Oreochromis niloticus: one gene and its partner. The protein of the gene in region 1 purifies or fractionates together with the protein of each later gene. This does not show direct contact. Links are inferred from orthologs where the notes say so. Each region holds a gene or a part of one and is shown on either strand. Other genes may lie near its edges.

What was found.
Region 2: the proteins of ptpn1 (region 1) and abcd3a purify together in Homo sapiens (affinity purification with mass spectrometry; 3 studies listed by BioGRID and IntAct, with this or other methods). This does not show direct contact. The link is inferred for Oreochromis niloticus from reciprocal best matches to the Homo sapiens genes PTPN1 and ABCD3.

What each region holds. Positions count from the first base shown.
Region 1 is NC_031984.2:10,040,412-10,050,818, forward strand, and holds the start of ptpn1 (tyrosine-protein phosphatase non-receptor type 1), read right to left. Parts: upstream 6,237-10,407; 5' UTR 5,833-6,236; coding exon 5,776-5,832; intron 3,535-5,775; coding exon 3,444-3,534; intron 584-3,443; coding exon 483-583; intron 1-482. Other genes in the region: klhl12 (kelch-like protein 12), read left to right, coding at 6,764-6,821, 8,771-8,997, 9,171-9,324. UniProt on the Homo sapiens protein: Tyrosine-protein phosphatase which acts as a regulator of endoplasmic reticulum unfolded protein response. Mediates dephosphorylation of EIF2AK3/PERK; inactivating the protein kinase activity of EIF2AK3/PERK.
Region 2 is NC_031974.2:34,984,961-34,995,367, forward strand, and holds the start of abcd3a (ATP-binding cassette sub-family D member 3a), read right to left. Parts: upstream 6,257-10,407; 5' UTR 6,175-6,256; coding exon 6,068-6,174; intron 5,453-6,067; coding exon 5,422-5,452; intron 5,319-5,421; coding exon 5,220-5,318; intron 3,911-5,219; coding exon 3,822-3,910; intron 2,353-3,821; coding exon 2,283-2,352; intron 1,852-2,282; coding exon 1,754-1,851; intron 1-1,753. UniProt on the Homo sapiens protein: Broad substrate specificity ATP-dependent transporter of the ATP-binding cassette (ABC) family that catalyzes the transport of long-chain fatty acids (LCFA)-CoA, dicarboxylic acids-CoA, long-branched-chain fatty acids-CoA and bile acids from the cytosol to the peroxisome lumen for beta-oxydation.

The DNA of each region.
Region 1 (10,407 bases):
CTCATTGATGCTGAGGACGACTTGAAAGCTATAAAAACATGATAAACCTCGACTTTTAACGATGAGGGTAGAATGAAAAGAAACACCTCCATCATTTAAAAGCACAACAAACGAAAAGATTCTAAATTTATCATAAAAGCCGAATCAAAACCTTAAAAAAACGGTGTCAGCAGAAACTAAGAATTATGACCTTCATAAAGGGAGGACCTCATGCTGAGTTACTGCATTAGAGTGGCCTCATCTTTAGCTCTGTGTGCCTAACAAACTAATAACTTTGCATATTTTATAAATGTTGCAGACAAGGACATAAAATAAGGCGAAACTATAAAATACAAGATATTATGGTCATTAGGCCAACCAGGAAACCAAATTATCTTATACAATGAGAAAATACTGACTTAAAGGTTTGGATTTTTCTGTCACTGTCTCTCTGAATTAGAGGAAATATTGAATTTTCAGTACTGAATCTTTTCTACACTTACCTGAGTAAGGATATAGTTCCTCCGTGCCTCTTCTACGGTTATTAGGCTGGCATTAATGTAGTCATTTGTACCTAACTGCAGATGTATTCTGCTGTGATCAACTGAAAAGAGAAAAAACAAAAGAAATATGAAAATATGCATATGAACTTTTTAAAAAAAAAATTTAAATGCCACAACCCACCAGGGACTAGAAATGCAATTCTCAGACCAAAACAGCTGTAGGGAACACTTAACAAGCATCTTCATACAAACTAAAGATGTTAACTATTGTGAGATTAGCTTTTTATGATTTCCAGTGAAGAACCTTTTAGGTAAAAGGTTAGCAGTATAAAAAAAGTTTCAGGTTCCTGATTTTCATATCTGGTAAAGGGGAATAAGAAAACCCTTGTTGGTATTTACGGTAACTATTTGCAACCCAGTCTGAGAAAAAAAAAAAAAATTTGCATGGCTTATTGAGTGTGAAAAAGAGGAAACTCTGTAGTTCAGCTGTTAGGACGTTTTGTAGAAAGTTCATTGCAACCTGACTATCTGCTGAAGCTGACATGAGGCTTTCAGTTATTGCAAAGTCTCCAGCAGTAGAAAGATTTTGAGAAGAGGTCAGCGTGACCTGTGAGAAAATTATCACAAGAGGAAGTGCACTAGACCCAAAGCTATCTGATTTGTACCCAAAAAGAACACATGAGTATAATGAACCTTGTATTTTAAATGCCAAACTGCTATAGAAAATTCAAACAAAAAAGCAAACAAACAAGCAAAAAACACAAAAAAGATTCATGATCAAAAAATACATATTGCAAAAATCATTTGGTATCTTTGTGTTCTTTGAGTCACCAGCAAGAGGGAAACTTCCGGAGCTGAAAACACAGAAGTGGCAGAAACTACAGATCCTCTAGAGAACACTTGAGGTTGACTCTAAAAGCGAGTAATTCCCAACAGACTCCCCTGTCAAAACGCCCAAATTTACAGCATTAAAATATATATTTACAACTTGGTGTAGAGAAGAAAAAAAAAAAAAAAAAAAAAAGAGGAAACTCATTCACTTAGATAATTGAGTTATTGAGTTAGCTTAGTCATTGTGTTGATTGACAAGTGTACTTACATGTAGCTGATGTACACCTCCACTAACTGGAGTCACTGAGCTTTTTTTAATGGAGATCATTTGACTAATAACTAATGTGTGGTACAAACTAGTCACAAAGTTTGTGCTCCTTTTTGTTGAGTGTTTCCTGCTACTGTATTAATTAACAGTTCATTGATGTTGCTAAAAAAAACTGTACCTGTAAACTCAGCCCTTCACCCTTTCATGCATATAAGGTCAACTCTAGCTCCCAAAAAACATCATAACATTATGATAGTGGCCAAAACTAACTTTAAAGCTTCAAAATTCAGCTTTTATCCACGTGCATCCTTTTATACTGTGTATGGTCACCAAACTGCCAGTAAGAATATATTTTAGATACACGGATTTATATCCTGAAGTAACAGCATAATATCCAGCACACAGCTTGTAACAGTACCAAAATATTGGTCAAAGACACCAGTAAGTCCCAATGAGGCCAATACTGTTAATGAAATCAAGCTCACAAAAAACAGTGGCTCCTTTAAGATTTTTAAGATATATCCTCAATTCAGAAAAAAGATTATTTTTTAAATTAATATTTATGAATGAATTATGCTTCAGTATATACGCTCACTTTTTATGTAACATACAAAAAAAAGGAGCTGTGTGGTTATGGATAACCATATATTTATAAGATAAAAAAAGAGAGGAAATAGAGGAAATGCTTGTTTCTGTTTTTGCTTTTTATTTTACCATTTATTTCAAGGCTTAAAAAAATAGATGATACTAAAAACATTGCTGAAAAAAAAAAAAAAAAAAAAACTTAATTTCCCCTTTCCCTGATCTTCCCCTTGTGTAGGTGTTTTTGAGACACTCAGTAATAAATTAGCTGGAAATACTATGCCACGCCAGTTAGAGTCATGCAAGGCTGTTTCTATTGCGCAATACTACCTTTACTTGACTTCAAACTGATATTACAGTGCTTGTACCTACTAAAACAGCAGACAGCTTAGGTGTTTATATAATGCTGCATAATGCTGTGACTTCACCACAGATGTTTAAACATAAATAGGAGATTACAGACCCTTCAACACTGCGGGTAGAGTACCAAGCAAAGAGACCCACAGTGGCATTCACTTAACCTTCAAGTATTCAAATGAGGTCGCATTATCACCCCAGCTGTATATTTATATGTGCCTTTGTGATATTTTGAATCAGAAAAATGTTCCTATCATGACATGACATGACATGACATTTGCCATTCCACAACTTTTCATAGTTTCTTACACGAATAACCCCTTTGGTGTGGCAAAGATAATAGAAAGCTGTGTGAAAATGTGAGCATGTTGTTTTTTTTTAAAAACATAACAGTGTTTGATTTTATTGTAATTTTCCACTTGTACTCACTCACTTTAATGTTTTGCAATGAACCACAGTTCACAGATGCAGAGCAAGATTCAGAGATATCCTGAAGCACATGCGGTTTGACAACTGAGCAACCAGAGCTGGCAGGCAGGACACAAACAAATCTGCTACTTTCAGGGGCATTTGGACAATGTTTCTATCACAGTTACCCAAATACTATATCCCTGTGACCAACCTCTGTGTGCATGGTGCTAGCTTTAAGAGGCAGGTTAAGTTTCAGGTAATGTATCTGTTCTACAGAAGGTTTGGCATAAAAACCTGGCATAACTGTGATGCTTAAAATCACTGAAAACCCTAGTTAATTACATGAAAACATTTTAAAATATCTGCCCTAGATAAATGAAACCAGTATACGAGTATATAATGAGGTCCTAAATGTAATTTTAGTGGCTAAAACACCTTGAGAGTTGTGGGAATATTTTAAGTGTTTCAGACTCTGCGGTCCAGCACACTGAGGCAAGCAAAGACAAACTTACACGGGCTAACGTCTCTGTATCGATTCCGATTCTTGTTTTCAGGTGATTTGGCAACCTTACAAGGGAATTCACTCGACTGCTGCCGAATCTCCTGTAACAGAATAAAAGGAGGAAAACAAGCATTAAAGCAGAGTTTTGGTGTTTTTGCAGGGTTTTTTTCGTTTTGTTTAAAAAAAACAACAACAACAACAAAACAACATCCACTCCACATTAAAAAGCTCTGAGTGTGACTGCTGTATTCTTTAAGACAAACAAACAAACAAAACAATGATGACATTCACTGATGACCCTTTTACAATTTCCTCTAGCTATCTCAATAACAATCAGGATTATATTTGCCTCAATACTAACACTGTCAAAAGCTTGTATTTAGACTACCCTAAAATATGAGGAGGGGGTTATCAAATTTCTGAAACCAGAAATTTGCTGGTTGCTTTCTTAGGGTGGTTAATGAAAGTTTAATTTAAATGTCAATTCTGACTTCCAACAATTATGAAAACAAGAAACAACATTCATTTTCATTGTTTTTATTGTTTCATGATATACATGTTCCAAGCCCACCTATTTTGCTTTCACCTCTTCCTAAAAAGTTTAAACTTGCGGTTTAGTTCAGTTGCAGGCAATATAACTGCAAGAGAGCTAAACAGCGGGACAAAAAGTTTCAAGGCATAGGTAGGTGAACCTGTGGAAAGATTATTAATGGTTGACTGCAGCCGTTTCCAACTCTAGATCACTTAGGGCCTGTCACCCTATCTGCTTTTGGCAATGCTGAACAGTTTGCGGTCAGCTTCAGTTCTCTGTGGTTCATCTGAGGCTGCTTTAAAGGTTTCCCAAGACGGCCGAACTCTATTACAGCGTTTCGCCCATCTGGACCCACAAACATTCCGCTATGGAAGCTATGGGCTTGTAGGGACCATCACCTGGTCTGGCTTTATAATCCAAAGCCCTGCCTACTGAACAGTTTTTTTCTATGTTATTTGAATTATGTAACAGTTAAAGAAGATTCCATGTGAAAAAACAACAACAACAACACAGTTTTAACTTCAGCCACTGCATAATGTTTGTAAAGTTTGTAAATAATAGAGAGATGATTGAGATTTGACTCAATGACCAATCATAGTCCATAACCTTATGTTCCACAGTTTCAGTTTATTCAATTTTCTTCAGCAGGGATAAATAACAAAGACACGAGGGAGAAAACCAAAGTCCACAACAGGTCTGATCGTTTGATCAAGACTGAATTACGAATAACAATTTAGCTCCATTAAGAGCATTTCCTGGCTCAAAATGAGCCTTTGGGGTGATTACATGAAGTTTGCGTAGCAGGTCAAATTTTCTTATACGCAGAAAGAAAGAAAAAAACCCCAACTAAACAGTACACTTCATATCATAAATGAGGAAGTGAATGCCTTTGACATGTTTAGTAGACCACAAATGTACAGAAAATATTTAATGTGTTGGTAAATGTTTTGAACAGTACTTTTGCTAGCTCACAAAAAAATTCCCAGGGGGTACTTTTAATTTTAAGTTTTAGGATATGGTCTTAAAGAATTAAAATAGAAGCTGTATGGCACATATAACAGACTAATGAATCCTGTATGCAATAGTATATTGGGGAGAGGGGGATTCCTGGCTCAAAGCAGGTTTCAGTTGGGGTTTTTTTTGGTTATTTGTTCTGTCAGAAATTTATTTTTTCTAAATTAACCCCACTGAAAACCCTTAACAATGCATTTAAGTTTGAGTAAATCAAACCCCATTCAACAAAAATTAATAATTCTCTTTTATGAAAGGCTAAAACTTCTTTAGAATGTGGCAAAGTTTTTCATAGAGGAAAATTTCTACCATTATTGTGATGCATTTCCATTTGAATTGTTACCTATGGCATTTTACACCTTACGTGTATCATGGTATGGGAGAGATAGAACCGCGATACGATATTTTGGAGGTTTGTATCGCGATTTCACTCGGTTTCAGGTGTGTTATACCCCTATGTAATGTATTACAAACATTTATAATAATTATAATAAGCTGCCGATTAACAGCGGAATGGAAATGTTAGACGAAACTGAGAACAAATCATTAAAAATAAGTTAGTACGTCCAAAAAATGTATGACGTCAGTCAGCGTTGAGCTGCTGCCTTTATACCCGGGCAGACGCATCAATCATCGGTTAACTCCGAGCAGGAAGAACAGGCGCTGAACTAAACACCAACACACTGATATAGCCAGAGAAACTATAGCTACCACCTCACCTTACATAAGCTACACGTTGGCCTAACCAGCTTCAGCTACGGTCTGATTATTTCCACCTTAATTTGCCAAGAGCTCTTACCTGATAAATGGCGTTCCAGCTGCCGTTTTCATCGATTTCCCGAAATTCAGCTTCCATCGCTGACAGTCCAGCTGCCACTCACTCTCTCGTTGTTTAGCCTCCCGATACGAACAACCAAAAGTCCCCGAAGATTAAACAAATTTCAGTCAAACTATTCGCAGTAGCTGCCAACTGGTCTGCCGCTGTTTTGTAATTCTCAGTGCGGCTGCATAGATTACCGTCTCGGCCTGCTCTTAGCGGAAACACGCCGCTAACTCCTCCTCCTGCTGCTGTAGCTGCCGTCCTTGGGTGACCAAAAAAAAGAGAGCAGAATTTTTTTTTTTTTTTAAGAGATAAAATTCCTCCTGCGTTTCTCTGTGTGTCACTTTGGGTTTATAAGCCCCCGTCAAATCCGGATTTGTCACTTAGTTTGAGTGAGACGGCTATTTTACTATTCCTACAGCAGCAGTTGAGGCCGACCAGCGGGCATGCGCGGAAGGCATCTTGTTTCTGGAGCGAAACGCGTCTGGGCGGTCTCCTCGGGGGACGCGCACGTACACTCACGTAATGGTCTGTTTACGTCCAATCTGTGGAGTCGCTGCTCTGCTGCTGCAGTTTAGTCAACGGGATATTATAGCTGGATAAAAATCCCATCGGGATTTAATATGATGCCGTTCCGATATATGTGTCCTCACGGTGGCCGTGCATAGAGTGACCCGGCAGAGGTCGTCATGGAGTAGCTGTAGTTGAGGGGCTTTGTTTAGGCAGTGCGACTGGGAGCAAAGAACTGGGACAGGGGGACTTTGGTGCTACTAACGTTAGCTAGCTGAGCAACTTAGCTAGACGTTTTTACTGCTGCGACAGGTATTATTATAAGTTGTTTTGTGTGTGTGTCGCTCCATGTGTTGTCTTCCTCTGGCCGTCAGCTCACTTTATATTGCTGTGTTTTCGTAGTTGTTATTGTTAGCGTTGGCGTTAGCCGTCAGCTGTCGTTGGCTGCTGCTAGCTAATGTGTAGCTATAGTTATTGCCTCCCAGTGGTGGAAAAAGTATTCAGATCTTTTAACGGTAAGTTTTATTTGCAAGACTGTAGTGGAAAAATGTTCCAAAAATGTAAAGTCTGGAAAGGAAAAAAAACACATATTTATTTGACTAGCATTATTAAATATGCTGCATTTATTCATAGAAATAACTGATCATTTAAACCTTTCTACAAGAAGTAGAGTGATGAGAAAAGTATTTCCCCCATTTCTGAGTTGTTATTTTTTTCATTTTTGAAATCTTCAAAGAACTTTTAAAATTAGGCAAATGTAATCTCAGTTAATACAAAATGCAGTTTTTAAATGATGATTTAATTTATTCAGGGAGTAAAGATATTCATACCTACCCGGCCCTGTGTGGACAAAAGTAATTGCCCTCTACAACCTTGATAACTTGTTATACCACCCTTGGAAGGATGAACCGCAGTCAAGTCTTTGTGATAACTGGGAATGAGTCTTTCACATGTGGAGAAAATCTGACCCACTCTTCTTTGCAGAATGATTTTAATACAGCCACATTAGAAGGTTTTCAAGTATGAGTGGCCAGTTTAAGGTCATGCCAAAGCATCTTAATCTGGTTTCAGTCTAAAATTTGACTAGGCCGGTCCAAAATCTTATTTTTTTGAGCCGTTAAGAGGCAGACTTGTTAATGTGTTTCAGATCCTGCTGCATAACTCATGTTATGCACCAAGTTATGCTTGAGCTCCATGGGACAAACTGATGACTTCACATTGTTCTTCAGGATTTTCTGGTAGAGAGCAGAATTCATTGTTCCATGAATTACAGCAAGAAGCCCTAGACCATCACACTACCACCACCGTGTTTCACTGTTGGCATGATGTTCTTTTTGTGAAATGCTGTGTTAGTCTTACATCAGATGTAACAGGACACAAACCTTTCAAAGGTTCAACTTTAGTCCTCAGAGTATTTTTTTTTTCAAAAGTTCTGGGGTTTATTTAGATGTTCTTTGGCAAATGTGAGACATGCCTAAGGCCTCCTGGATCAGTCATCGATGGGCTTTTGGAGTAATTTTGGTAGGCTGGCCACTCTGGTGAATGTTCACCACTGTTCCAATTTTTTCTTCATTTGTGGTTAGTGGCTCTCACTGTGGTTCACTGGAGTCCCAAAGCCTTAGAAATGGACGTCAGTGACTTTGGTTCTCATCTGTTTTGATCATGGCATGATATGTTGGTTTTTGAGCACTTTTGGGCTACTTTACTTTGTCAGGCAGGTTCTATTCTTGTGATTTCTTGATTCAGTAGGTGTGGTAGTAATCAGACCAAAGTGTGGCAAGTGTAATTGAACTCTGATTTCCAAAAATGTGGTTAATTGGAGTTAATTCATGATTTAACAAGGGTAACAATTCTGTTTTTACACAGGGCCAGGTAGGATTGGATAGCTTTTTTCCCCCTTAATAAGTCAAGTCATTGTTTGCAAGAAATAAATCAAGAAGTCGAGCAAATACAGCACTATAAATACTATAGTGCTTCTATGATAGTCAGTATTTTCTCTCCATTGCTGTCCTGTAAGCAGAATAAATTATGCTATTTCTTGTCCTTGCCAAGAAAAAAATGTAGAAATAATACACAATACAAATTATATATATACAAAGTAAGTATTATATAATGTAAAAGTTAATATAAAGTGGGGTTTTTTTCATGTACATTTTCATTAGCAGTTAGGTTTTGGGGGGGGAGGGGTTTGGGTTTTTTTTTTTTTTTTACAAAATGTTGTAAAAAGGGTGTAAAATAGTGACAAAAATCTGTTATCATTTCCCACAAAGTGTCACAAACTTATCTTGTGAATAGCCAGCAGTTCAACCCAACTGACAAATTACTGACAGACACACACACTCACTAGCTGCATGACTTGCTTGTACAGTATATAAAAATGTGACATTGTGGCGTGCTTTTATGCTTACTGTGGAATACCTTTCTTCCCAAAGGATGTTTTCAAAATAGACTGTCTTTTTTCCAGATTCATTTAGTAGTTTGAGATCCGTAAGGGATTCTCAAAGCAGCATGGCTCCCAAAGACATCATGACCAATTCCCATGCCAAATCCATCCTCAATGCAATGAACTCACTTCGCAAGAGCAACACACTCTGCGACATCACTCTGAGGGTGGAGAACACTGATTTTCCAGCTCACCGAATCGTCTTGGCTGCCTGCAGTGACTATTTTTGTGCCATGTTCACTAGCGAGGTAATAATGTTTGAAAAATAGATGCCCCAGTTACATTCCTGATGCACTCTTTTATTCTGTTTTTTTCTTTGTTGGCCTTTCTGGGTGTTTTAAGGTGGTGTTACATTTGCCTAAAATGCAGGATGATTCTCAAAAGTAATCCTTCAAATAAATGTGTTGTTGTGGCTCTGTAGCTTGCAGAAAAGGGGAAATCTTTTGTCGACATTCAGGGGCTCACGGCATCCACTATGGAGATCTTGTTGGACTTTGTCTACACAGAGACTGTGCTCGTCACGGTGGAGAACGTACAAGAGCTGCTCCCTGCAGCGTGTTTGCTACAGCTCAAAGGTAAGTTCAGAGCTGTACCTTGAGTTAAAAAGTTTCTAATAATTGTCTCTGGTTTTGACATTGTCTTCAGAAGCTTCTGTGTTTTGAGCTTTTATAACTTTGTTTAACATGTTAATATAACATAATATAATTATGTCTGTTTACCACGGTCTGCTGATAAGAATTAGTGTGTATGGGTAAATGTGGCATATTTACAGTGTTCATGTTAATTAAAGTGCAATGTTATGATGAAAGAAAATAAACATAATGATTAAAGAGTTTGCCTAAGCCATCTTTTCATGACTGTAACCCCAGATCTTGAAACGTATTATTCAGTTTCCTCAAAGATACGTTTTACCAGGTATTACAAAGTTTGAATTGTTTCCTCTTGCAGGCAGTAATGTATTAGTTTTAGCATGACTTAGGTCAGTTTATGTGTAGCTGGTAGAATAAACTGGGTTGTTGTAATGTTGGATTTTGGAGTTTTAGTAAGCAGGCCTGTTGAAATAAGTCACTTTCGCAAACGTTAGTAACTGGGAAACTCATCCAGTTACAGATTTAAATGGATCATCTTTAATTCCTCAATCCATTCATGAAACAACGTAAGGGCTTAATTCGAACCTCAGTTACAGCAGTGTAATCAATCAATCACGCAGTGTTGTATTCAGTATTCATACCTTGTATAGCACCTGGGAAAATCCATGCATCCATCTATCTTCTGCCAGGATGAGTGGGCAGCAGTCTAAGCAGGAGTGCCCAGACTTCCCGCTCCCTGGCCACCGTATCCAGCTCATCTTAGCAGACGCCATATAATCTTATATTTAAAAAAAAAGTTAAAAAAATGACAGCGAATGTTGCAAATATATATATTTTTGTAGATAGTGTGAATGAGTCTGTTTGTAAAATTAATCATATCATCCAGAATTATTATAGTCTGCTGGGAACCGCAGAAAATGTGATGTAATAATTATTTTTAGGCTTAATCATCAATTTAAAATTCTATTTTCTAAGAAACATTTATTAAACAGTGGTACTATTCCATTAAAATGCCTTCTGCGTTTCCAAATTAAGAGAGAATTAAATGCTGGTTTTCGAAAGAGTTAA
Region 2 (10,407 bases), on another chromosome or scaffold:
AAGCCACGCTAATGACAATGTGTCCAACCATTGGAGATGTGAGCAGGACAGACGGAACAATTGACGGACAAAGTGTGGACTTTATACCAGTTTTTAAATTGTGTTGATCGGCCACGTAAAACCAGAGTTATGATAAAAATATCTGCAATGTTTGGTTTTCTTCCTGAATACTATCGTTGTTTATATTTACTGCGGGAAGAAACGGTAAAAACGGCGTTTTATAAGGAAAACGCTCGAAAGCCTGTGAGCAAAAACAAAACCAAACCCCCCCCACCCTTTCCTATTGGTCGAAAAATGTACCGTGTCGACCAATCAAAAAATGGTATGGCAACGTGGCATCTAGTTGTTAAGAAATGGGGGGAAGTTTTAGGAGTGACGGCGGTGTTCTGAGATGTGAGAGATTTGAGACGTTTAGCGCAAATCTTGTGTAGTTAGTGTGTAGTTAGTGTGTAGTGTAGTTTTGTTGTGTGTGTCAGAACAATGAGGCGGCTGCTGAATGTTACAGGTGTTACAGCAGTGATACATCTCCTGTTGTCAGGCCTGCAGGTATCAGGCTGTTGTTCTCCTTTATCTCATAGTGGACAGAAATTAGTTTTTGGAGTGGCACAAATAATTTGTGTGGCATCAGATTTGATGCAGAACAGCTGATTGTTCTGTAAATAGTTTGAAATGTTTATTTAAAAACGCCTTGGCTGCAGTAAAAAAAATAAATAGCTGCAAAAAACTTTGTTGTTTGCCAAACTGAGTTACTTTTTTGAAGAAGTAACTATATAATTAATTGCCCAACATTGGTCATTATATACTGTATTTGGCAGACAGAGAGTTACAGACTCTCTCTCAGACCACAGACTCATAATACAAGTCAGAGCTTTATGAAAAAAAAGAAAAGAAAGAAAGTTGTGTTTTCAAAATTGGAGTTCAAGTTATTTTTACTTCCAATAGTGTTAACATACTACACAGGTCATGAACAGGATTTTTTAAATTTTCATTGTAAGTGGGCTAAAGCAGTTAATTAAAAGTCGTCTAACATAAATGTAAATGCTGTGATTTGATTATTTTAATAAACCATGTAACTTGGATGGATTAGATGCTGGCGTGACCACAGTGCACACGTCTGATGTCGCTCACAGTGGTCCAAGGGACGCTCAGGGAGTTTGTGTGTTCGCTCAGACACATGAAAGATTTGAGGGAACATTGGTGGAAACATTATGGGTTCGCGGAGTCAGACGTGGATCAAATATTGTGCAGTATTTTGAAGTTCACTAAACATAGATGTTTACATTTTTCATTTATTTTTTATATTGCAAACATTTGCACTGTAATCAGTATTTGCACACTATTTTATATTATTTTTTGACAATCTTTAAAGCCATTATTCAATACATTGTTATTGTTAAATAAATATCGTCAAATAATCCAGATCTCAATTTCAGTGAAAATAATCGTGATTATCATTTTTGCCATAATCGAGCAGCCCTAGCTGCACCCACACAGGCACAGCTTACATGCATGTTCCAGGTGTTGGTGTCAGTGACCACAGGGAGACAGAGAGGCTTCAACACAACAGCCAAAACTGACACCGTCTCACATTTGTTTCTCAGATTTAGCAAACAAAGCCACTCGTTTCATTTGAAATTGTAGTTCAACTTGAAATACACCAGCCTAACCATGCTGCTCTCAATGCACCTGTCTCACAGGCACTGAAGGTGAAACCCTCTGGACATGATGAGCACAGTATTACTGGTGTACTTACTGCAGGTACTGGTTGTAGAGATGGTGGGTTAGCCTCTCACGAAACCTCAGCTTCAGCTCATTCAGACCAAACTTTAGGAAGTTGTTCACCAAGGATATCTGGAAACAGCCAGTCACACATTAAAAGAAAGCTCCCAGGAGAACAGCGTGGCAATAACAAAGCTAGAGCTGCTATGGTGACCACCCACAGTTACTGGCAAAGGCTACGGAGCAAACTAGCATGATTTCATGAAAGCCATGCAAACTAAACAACACAATCAGCCTGGGAAGAGTCAATGCTCAGTTTATGTCAGTATGATAATTACACCAATTTCTGTGCCATAGAGCTCAACCATGAAAAGCAGTCAGTCACACAGCTGCACAGGCATTCATTCACACTGTTAGCGAAGCAGAATCATGGTAGTGTGTGTTTTTGGTTTTAAATGGAATTATTTGTCATTCCAACAAAGATGTGGGAGCATGAACTACAGATGGACATGAAATCAACGTTGGAGTGTCACAAACCTCAGGAGTTCAGAGTTCACACTTACAATTGGCATGAATTCAATAAACTTCAACAAGCAGATCTTGAAATCTTTAGTCGAACGACCAATAATTGCACTGCAAACCACAACAAGAACAAAGATGAGCAAACAAAGCCAAGGTCAGAGACAAACACTGAAGCTTGCTGTGTGCAATTTATGATGTGATACGACACAAACAGAAGGACGGTGGGATCCTGACACGGAGCAACACTATTCAATCTATGCATTTCCATGTTATTAGCTGCTGTGCACTGGACTATAGAGGGCCACCGACTCCAAAGGCTTTACTGTACCACGGCTGACGTACAGTGGCTAGTGGCATTAAATTGGATTTGTTACATACATTACAAATATTTGTCAGATCCACCTAATCGCACAAAAAAAATTAAAAAAATATCGCAACCCATACCCAAGTGCAGTGTGTGTGTGCTCGTAATTCAAAATCTGCACCAATATCAAATCTATAAGCAACAGTACTTCAGTCAAACAGCTAGACGATGCTCTTGGTCAGTTGGCTCTCTGAAAACTCCTCAGTGACTCCTGGATCAAACCATGACGCTCTCCCTGCTGCTGCCACCATGAAGAAATGGATCGAACCACAGTCTCGGTCTTTTCTTGCTTAGAAGCATCAGGCCCAGCTCGCTCTCCTGGGGTTTCTCACATTTGCAGAGTGTACATAGAACAAGTCTGCATTTGAATAATTCTCAGCTTCAGTCGCTTCTTAACAATGCAGCGTGCGACGGCTTTCACTGCTCCTAAAAAGATGTTCTCAGCCAGCAGTTTCTCATCAGATACAATCTGTGACCGGCGGCACTCGTACGCAGCGCTTTGTGTGCTAGGGTCACATGATACATGAAACGGCCCTTCTGAACGCACACAGTATCTGAAGCAGAACAAGTTCATACTACACGTCATGTCTGATCAGCTGCAGGCCGAGCCTGCTGATTCAGAGACAGCCGGCTGTGCTGCTCATTACTCTGACATGTACAATCAGACTGACACAGGCTGCTTCCAAACCAGGAGTAACAAGGCACAAGCACACACTGAATAGCATTCCAGTTAATCTATGCCAAGATGTTACACATTACCATGATGACCACAGGTCAGTGTTTTACCTCAAAAGGAAAGCAGACCTCACACAAAGCACAACAACTCCAAAGCAGATGTTAAAACTACCATGTTAATGGCTTCCCCACTTCTAATACAAGCACTTGTTGACAGTTACCCCTGGTATGACTGATATGTAGGAAAAAAAGTGCCTGTTGAATAGAGAGCTGTCTCTGCTTATAATACCACTGTGAAGAATCAAAACAAAGTTCATCAATTCCTGTAAAGACAGCAAAGCAAAATCAACGTTACATTTTCAAACTTTCATTCTGTGACTAGCAGCAGAGAAACCCGGGAACGCCACATGCAAGGTAGGGCATCAGCATCAGTGATATACACTACCCCACCCCCCATACATAGATTTATCATCTTTGTTGTGTCGTCTGATTTACTTTTGTAACAAAAACAAACATCTTATCTTAAACACTGAAGCCTGACCTTTCGATCATGGTCCCATTCTGGATCATCCACACATCACAGTAGGTTCTGGCCACCAACATGGCAGCAATAAAAATAAGGTAGCCAGCCTGTGGAGGAGAGGGGAAACAGCGCCCACAGTTAGTGGAGTGTGTAAAAGACTGCAGTCAATCACAGTTGTTTATTATCCTACCTTTGACTCTGCTCATATCTAATGAACTGATGAGATAAGACGAGAAGAAACCAGGAGCAGCCATGTGGCTGCGACCTTGACTTGTGGAGTTATTGTTTCTGTGTCAAAGGGCTCTGCTGCACACGCAATCAGAGTAACGGTTTGGAAACAGTTTCCAAGTATCTTTGAACCATTACCAGATACCAATGTTTTATGGTTGGCCCAGTCATCACTGGTCAAATAGGTGAAAGGCAAATGGACCTCAGTAATTAGGGCTGTCACAAAACTAGAATTTCAAATGTAATACCAATAACCATGAAAATGTCAGAGAGCAGCCAATCTAACACCACGGGGAGGGAAACACAGGCACAAGTACTTTTAAATGGGAGGACTGGCAACATGTGTCTTCAACATTAATGCTGACCAGAAGGAAGCAAAGATGAAGTGTTGGTATCACTACGATCTTATTATCAGGTAATTACTGTCCAAGTATCATATTTATACACATGCTGTCCACACCTGCTGTGTTTATTTCACTTAAAAATATGTGAAGATGTGAACACAGTAACCTCACTGTGACACGAACCAAAGCCGGAGCCATGGACGTTGTGTATTGTGGGATCCGGCAAGGTACTATAGATATGTGAGGGTCTGTATGGGCTAGCAAGCAAGCTGTGAAATTCTCCATGTTCTCCTGTAGTTGAGAACACAACACCATCGTCCTGAACTAACCTTTGTTGCTCCCACTGCAGACAGATTTGGATTTTTCTGTGTGAAAACAAACCAAACTATGGGGACCAGCTACACATGCAGCAACTGATACAGACCAGAGTAAAAGAACTATAGGTGTGAAAACACCAAGTCATCAACTACATATTGGAAGCTGTGATCTCAGCTCACGGCAGATAAGATGGGCACCGAGCCCTGGTAGGGTAATGGCTCTTCAGTCTCTGGTCCTTAGAAAGAAGGAACCAGGATGTGCTCACAAAGCAGTCAAGGCTTGTTTTTTACACTGTACTGGCTTTTCTGCTATTTTTTTAGAATAAAGGATGCAGTGTGTTTTTCCCCCTGATAATCATTTAACAGCGATCAGAAGAAATGTACAGCATGTCTACACTGGCGTGATGAAAGAACTGTCCACTGCCCTGGAATCTAACAAAAGCACATATATGAATAAATAAGAGAGCAGTGAGTGCAGGCAGTGTAACAGCTTGGTTCAAGTCTACTCGCTTGTCTTCACATCTTACCTCCATGCAGAAAACGCGAGGCACCAAGACCCGGAGAATCCGGAGGATCCGGAGAAAGAAAACTTTGTCCACAGCTGCCCGATCTTTTTTGCCATCCTTCTACATGAAGAGGTACAGACAAGAATTAAAGCAATTGCACCAAACTAAGTATTATGTAGACTTTGGACACTTTAAACATTCAGGTCAGGGTGTTTCAACATACCTGCGTGTTCAGCACCAGATCTGAGCTTCCTCTGAAAAAGACGGGGTTGAACGATTATCAGAAACACGCTGTTAACAGTGGCCTCCCCTGCCATACTGTAGCATGAGGCCCATTTACGGGATTCACACAGGGACTACAACCTCCGCCTTCACCGCCTCAGAGCAGTGTTACTTCTGTAAGCTTTCCCACAATTAACATTACTCACTTCACCTGCCAGCGGGTTTAATGTTGTTGTGGCTGACAGATAACTACACACACTACCTTATTAAATTATACACACACACACACACAACTTTGGCTGACAGTACGACATTTCTTAGAAAGATATAGTAGAAGACACCAAGCCACAGATTTGACAACTAAGTCGTTTCCCAGTCAGCCCAGTCATGGGTTTACGACAGTGTGTCAGGAACACACGTTACTTCTGTTTGTGTTGGGATGTATGCCGACCGAAACAAGAGGGCCCCAAAGTGCACACAGAAAACGTGCCTGCTTAGAAAACCTGAGGGAGACTCGGGAGCACCGAGGCAGCGGCAGGTCGCAGTCACCTGTCAGCATGAGCTGCTAGCCGCTCCTAAGTAGCATGACAGTCGTCGCAAACTGCTGACAACCAGCTACTGAGCGACACATAACAGCAGCCACTTACCTATTTGACTTGGTCCGCTTCCTGTGCTTCAGCAGGACTAACACAAACAAAATGCTGCCCGCTATGGAGGAGTTCCTAGCTGTCAGATATTTACTGAAACCCGCCATGACTGGGACACAACGACCGGCCTGCTCCCCACGGTCTTTCGGTCGAAGTCTTCTGCTTCTTCTTCTTCTTCTTTTTCTTGTGCTTCGGCTTCTTCTTCCTCATCGGCGGCTGACAACAAGTATAGAGATGCATTACTGCCACCTACCTGTGGCTACAATACTACTACTACTACTAATAATAATAATAATAGTAAATTGTCATTATTATTATGTATCTATTTTTACTTTGACACGTCAAGTACAAATGCATATACGAATGAATGAATTGCCAAAGAGATCAGTAACAATGAATTTAAACACGAAAACAGAGTCAGTGAATAAATGTACATCCAAAAAACACACAAATATCTATCATATCTAAATAACTATGCAAAAAATAAGCATGTGAACGAAGTGTAATATTAAATAAAAGCTGCACTTACTTTACAATAGCATATGTTTTTTTGTGTTTTTTTCATTTTAAAGTACCTGTAAAGTTTTTTATATATAAGTTAAATTATAACTTAAATTAGCTCAATTAGTTTAAGATCTAACCCTGCTTTAGACATAATAATCAATGATGGTGATAATGAGGTAGCTCTTCTGCCTTAAGCCATGTGCTTAGCCAGAGGTTGTTTGGTTTCCTTAATGTATAAAACATGACAATCATCCTGGCACTTACTGGTGTATTACTAATCTGTGCCGGGGGACTGCCAGTCACACAAAGCTTGTTATCAACTTGGTAAGCTAACCCACGGTTTCCCCTGGGGTTTCTGTCCCGCAGTCTAATAAAGGAAATATGGAATTCTCTACAAAGTAACAGGAAGCAAAGAAGCAAAGAAGGACTCATCCAGGCTGGAGAAACTAATCAGGAAGGCTGGCTCTGTGGTCTGTGAAGCTGGACACTCTGGTGTCAGTGGCAGAGAAAAGGACACTAAAGAAACTCCTGGACATTATGGACGATGCTGGGCATCCTCTGCACATGGTCGTAAACAATCAACGGAGCCTATTCAGTGACAGGTTGCTTCTCCCAGAGTCAAGAACCAACAGACTTAAAAACTCCTTTGTCCCACAGGCCATCAGACTGTTTAACGCCTCTCTGGAGGGGAGAGGGAGGGGAAACAGGGGGACAAGGGAGGGCGGGAACAACTGAGCTGTAGGTGCTTTTTTACACTGTGCAATATTTGCAATATATATATATATATATATTTTTTTTTTTCTTATATTCGACTGTGCAATAATCACGGTGCAATATACTCATTCAAATGAGCAATCCTTTGTATATTCTGTATCTATATATTTGTATATGTGTATATATGGTGTATTTATGCTAATATCCTTACTCTCATTCCCCTTATTGTATCTGTAACATGCAACTTCTTTCGATGCTTTGCTACTGGAAACTGAATTTCCCGGAGGAACCCACCCGAGGGATTAATAAAGTTTCATCTAATCTAATCTAATCTAATCTGAACTGTGCATGTTTCTGTGACAATGCAATGCATGCAGTTTCACTCAGCGGTTTTAGTTCTGTAGACTTAACCTGCACATATAAAGGGTATTCCCCCCAGGACTGAGTCTCTATCACACTTAAAACAAGCTGTAAATAAAAATGTTCTCTCAGCTTAAAGGGTTTGAAACTAAACATAGAAACATAGGCTAAATCTATCTACAAATTTGATATGAGGTCAGTGTAGGTCCATCAACGACCACGATAAGATAAGATAAGATAAGATAAGATAAGATGGCCTTTATTAGTCCCACAGGTGGGAAATTTGTTTTGTTACAGCAAAAGTGCAAAGTTATGTAGCAGAAATTAGAAAACACTGGAATGCAATAAAATACAATAAAATAAAATAAAATACTATATACAATAGAATAAAATAGAATAGAATAATATATACAATAGAATAAAATAGAAATACAAATACTATATACAACTGAGTAGGAAAATACAAAAACACAACTTCGTCAGAAGAAGAATTGCACGTATAGCAGTCTTATTGCACATGTGTGGGTTTGTGTGTTTGATCAGCTGCAAAAGTCTTTATTGTAGAGTCTGACAGCAGTGGGGAGGAAAGACCTGCGAAATCTCTCCGTCCCACACCGTGGGTGCCGCAGTCTCCCACTGAAGGAGCTGCTCAGTGCCTTCACAGTCTCATGCATGGGGTGGGAGATGTTGTCCAACAGGGATGACAGCTTAGCCACCATTCTCCTGTCACTCACCACCTCCACTGGGTCCAGAGGGCATCCTAGAACAGAGCTGGCCCTTCGGATCAGCCTGTTCAGTCTCTTCCTGTCCCGATCCTTATAGAACAACAAAATTGTTGTAAAAATGTTTTGTTCCCAACAGAAAAAACAATCAAAGAATAAATTTGCATCTTTGTGATCTAAAGAGCTCTTACATTCTTTTAATAATATCCAAAAATGTGAAGGCTACATATTTTTCAAATTTTATCTAAAACAGCCAAGAGAATTCAAAAGTTTTACTTGACACAATCAGAAACATTGTCATGTCTGAACGTCCTGCTCCAACTGTTCAGTCAAATAAAGAGTGTGAAAACTTTCTTTCTGTGTTAATAAGACCCATAATATCAAGCAAATATTAGCTGGTCATCACTCTTTGCACCAATCTCTCTGAACAGTCTCGTCAGTTTGGTTGATAAAATGAAGGCATTCTTTTGCCCACTTGACACTTTACCAACTTGACTGTTCAAAAAGGTCTCACACACCAATGCACCACTTGTTCTTAAGGTGATGAATAATTCTTTCACCTCTGAATGTGTCCCTCAATGCTGACCTCTCCCTCCTTGAGAATTTTAGGCCATTTTCTTATGTAGGTGAATATTCCGTCCTTGTACTTTTTGATCTCTCTGCTGCCTTTAACACTGTTGTTCATGGTGTTCGGATTGACTTGGGTGGCCATTTGTAGGTCTTGACTGTTTTTCTTCCAATCTCTCTCACAGGAGTTTTTCAGCCCCGGGACCTATCCATGCTCTCACTTGGGCACAAGTTCAGTATCTTCTCATATCGTTGTTATGCAGATGATATTCAGATGTACATGCCCTTCAAACCCCAGAATGTAGCCACATTATCTATACTTCAAGACTGCATTCATGTTATAAAAAAAGGATATTTTCTCTCTTTGAATACAAAAAAGTCTCTCTGATTTAAAGTTCTGATCTGTGCACCTAACACAGTAACTAAAAATCTTGGCCCACTCTCATGTTTAGTTTCCCCACTGTGAGAAATCAGCATGTTGACTACCTTTTTAGAAGCTGTTTTTGTCATCTGCAGAACATCGCCCATCTTAAATATACTGTGTGTCAAATTGAAATGGAAATGGGGTGCTGGTCCCGCAGATCGACATTTGGAGTTTTCATCTTCACTGCCCTTATCCTAGTGTGCCATCGGTGCAAATATAATTTTATCTTAGAGGACAAGGGGTTGTAATTGTGTCTTTATGGTCGCCTCCCTATCAGAGGCTGTACTTGTCCTGACGTACATCTTGGGACAGTAAAATCTGAAGTCATCCCCTGTGTTTTTGATATATTAATTTTGTATACTGAAAATTTGCCAAAGTCATATATTATGTTCATTAACACTTCAAATGATTTGCAAAGCTCCTCCAGGAACATCATCAGCAAACATCACCAACTGCTCACATCCTACCATCACAATGTCTCCAGCCTTTTAGTGGCCTGGAGGGTCTATAAATACAACAAAAAGGAGAGGAGATAGAATATAAGACTCTGAAAGGTCTTATACCTTTGCTCAGGGTTTATTTACAAAGCCTGTATTATTTTAATAATGTTAGTACAGATAGTCCTGATGTTCCCGTGTTTGTCATGGGCATCTGTGTTTGGAGGAGGAAAATGCAAGATTCTTGGCCAAAATCTCCTTCAGCTGGATGAGCTGTCAGAGTCTAGGGGAGTCAGTATGGAAGTAGCAGTGACACACCCACAGGACTCCATCCACACCCAAAAAGGGTGTCCATGAACTGAAACTTGATGTTGGTGTTAAGGCTGCACTGTCTTTGTGTGTCTTTCTGTAACAGATCGAAGAAGTCCATCTTTGACAGCACGTGTCTTCTAGGACCACTAGGACCACTCTGCAGCCATCACTGCATCTCTGATCTCTCTAAAAGATTAAAAAAGATTTATCCTCTGAGGAATTTTGGGGGAGGGGGGTAGAGCACCTAAATCCCAGTAGAAGTCAGTCTGGAGGAACATGGTCATGGTTCTGGGTCATTTG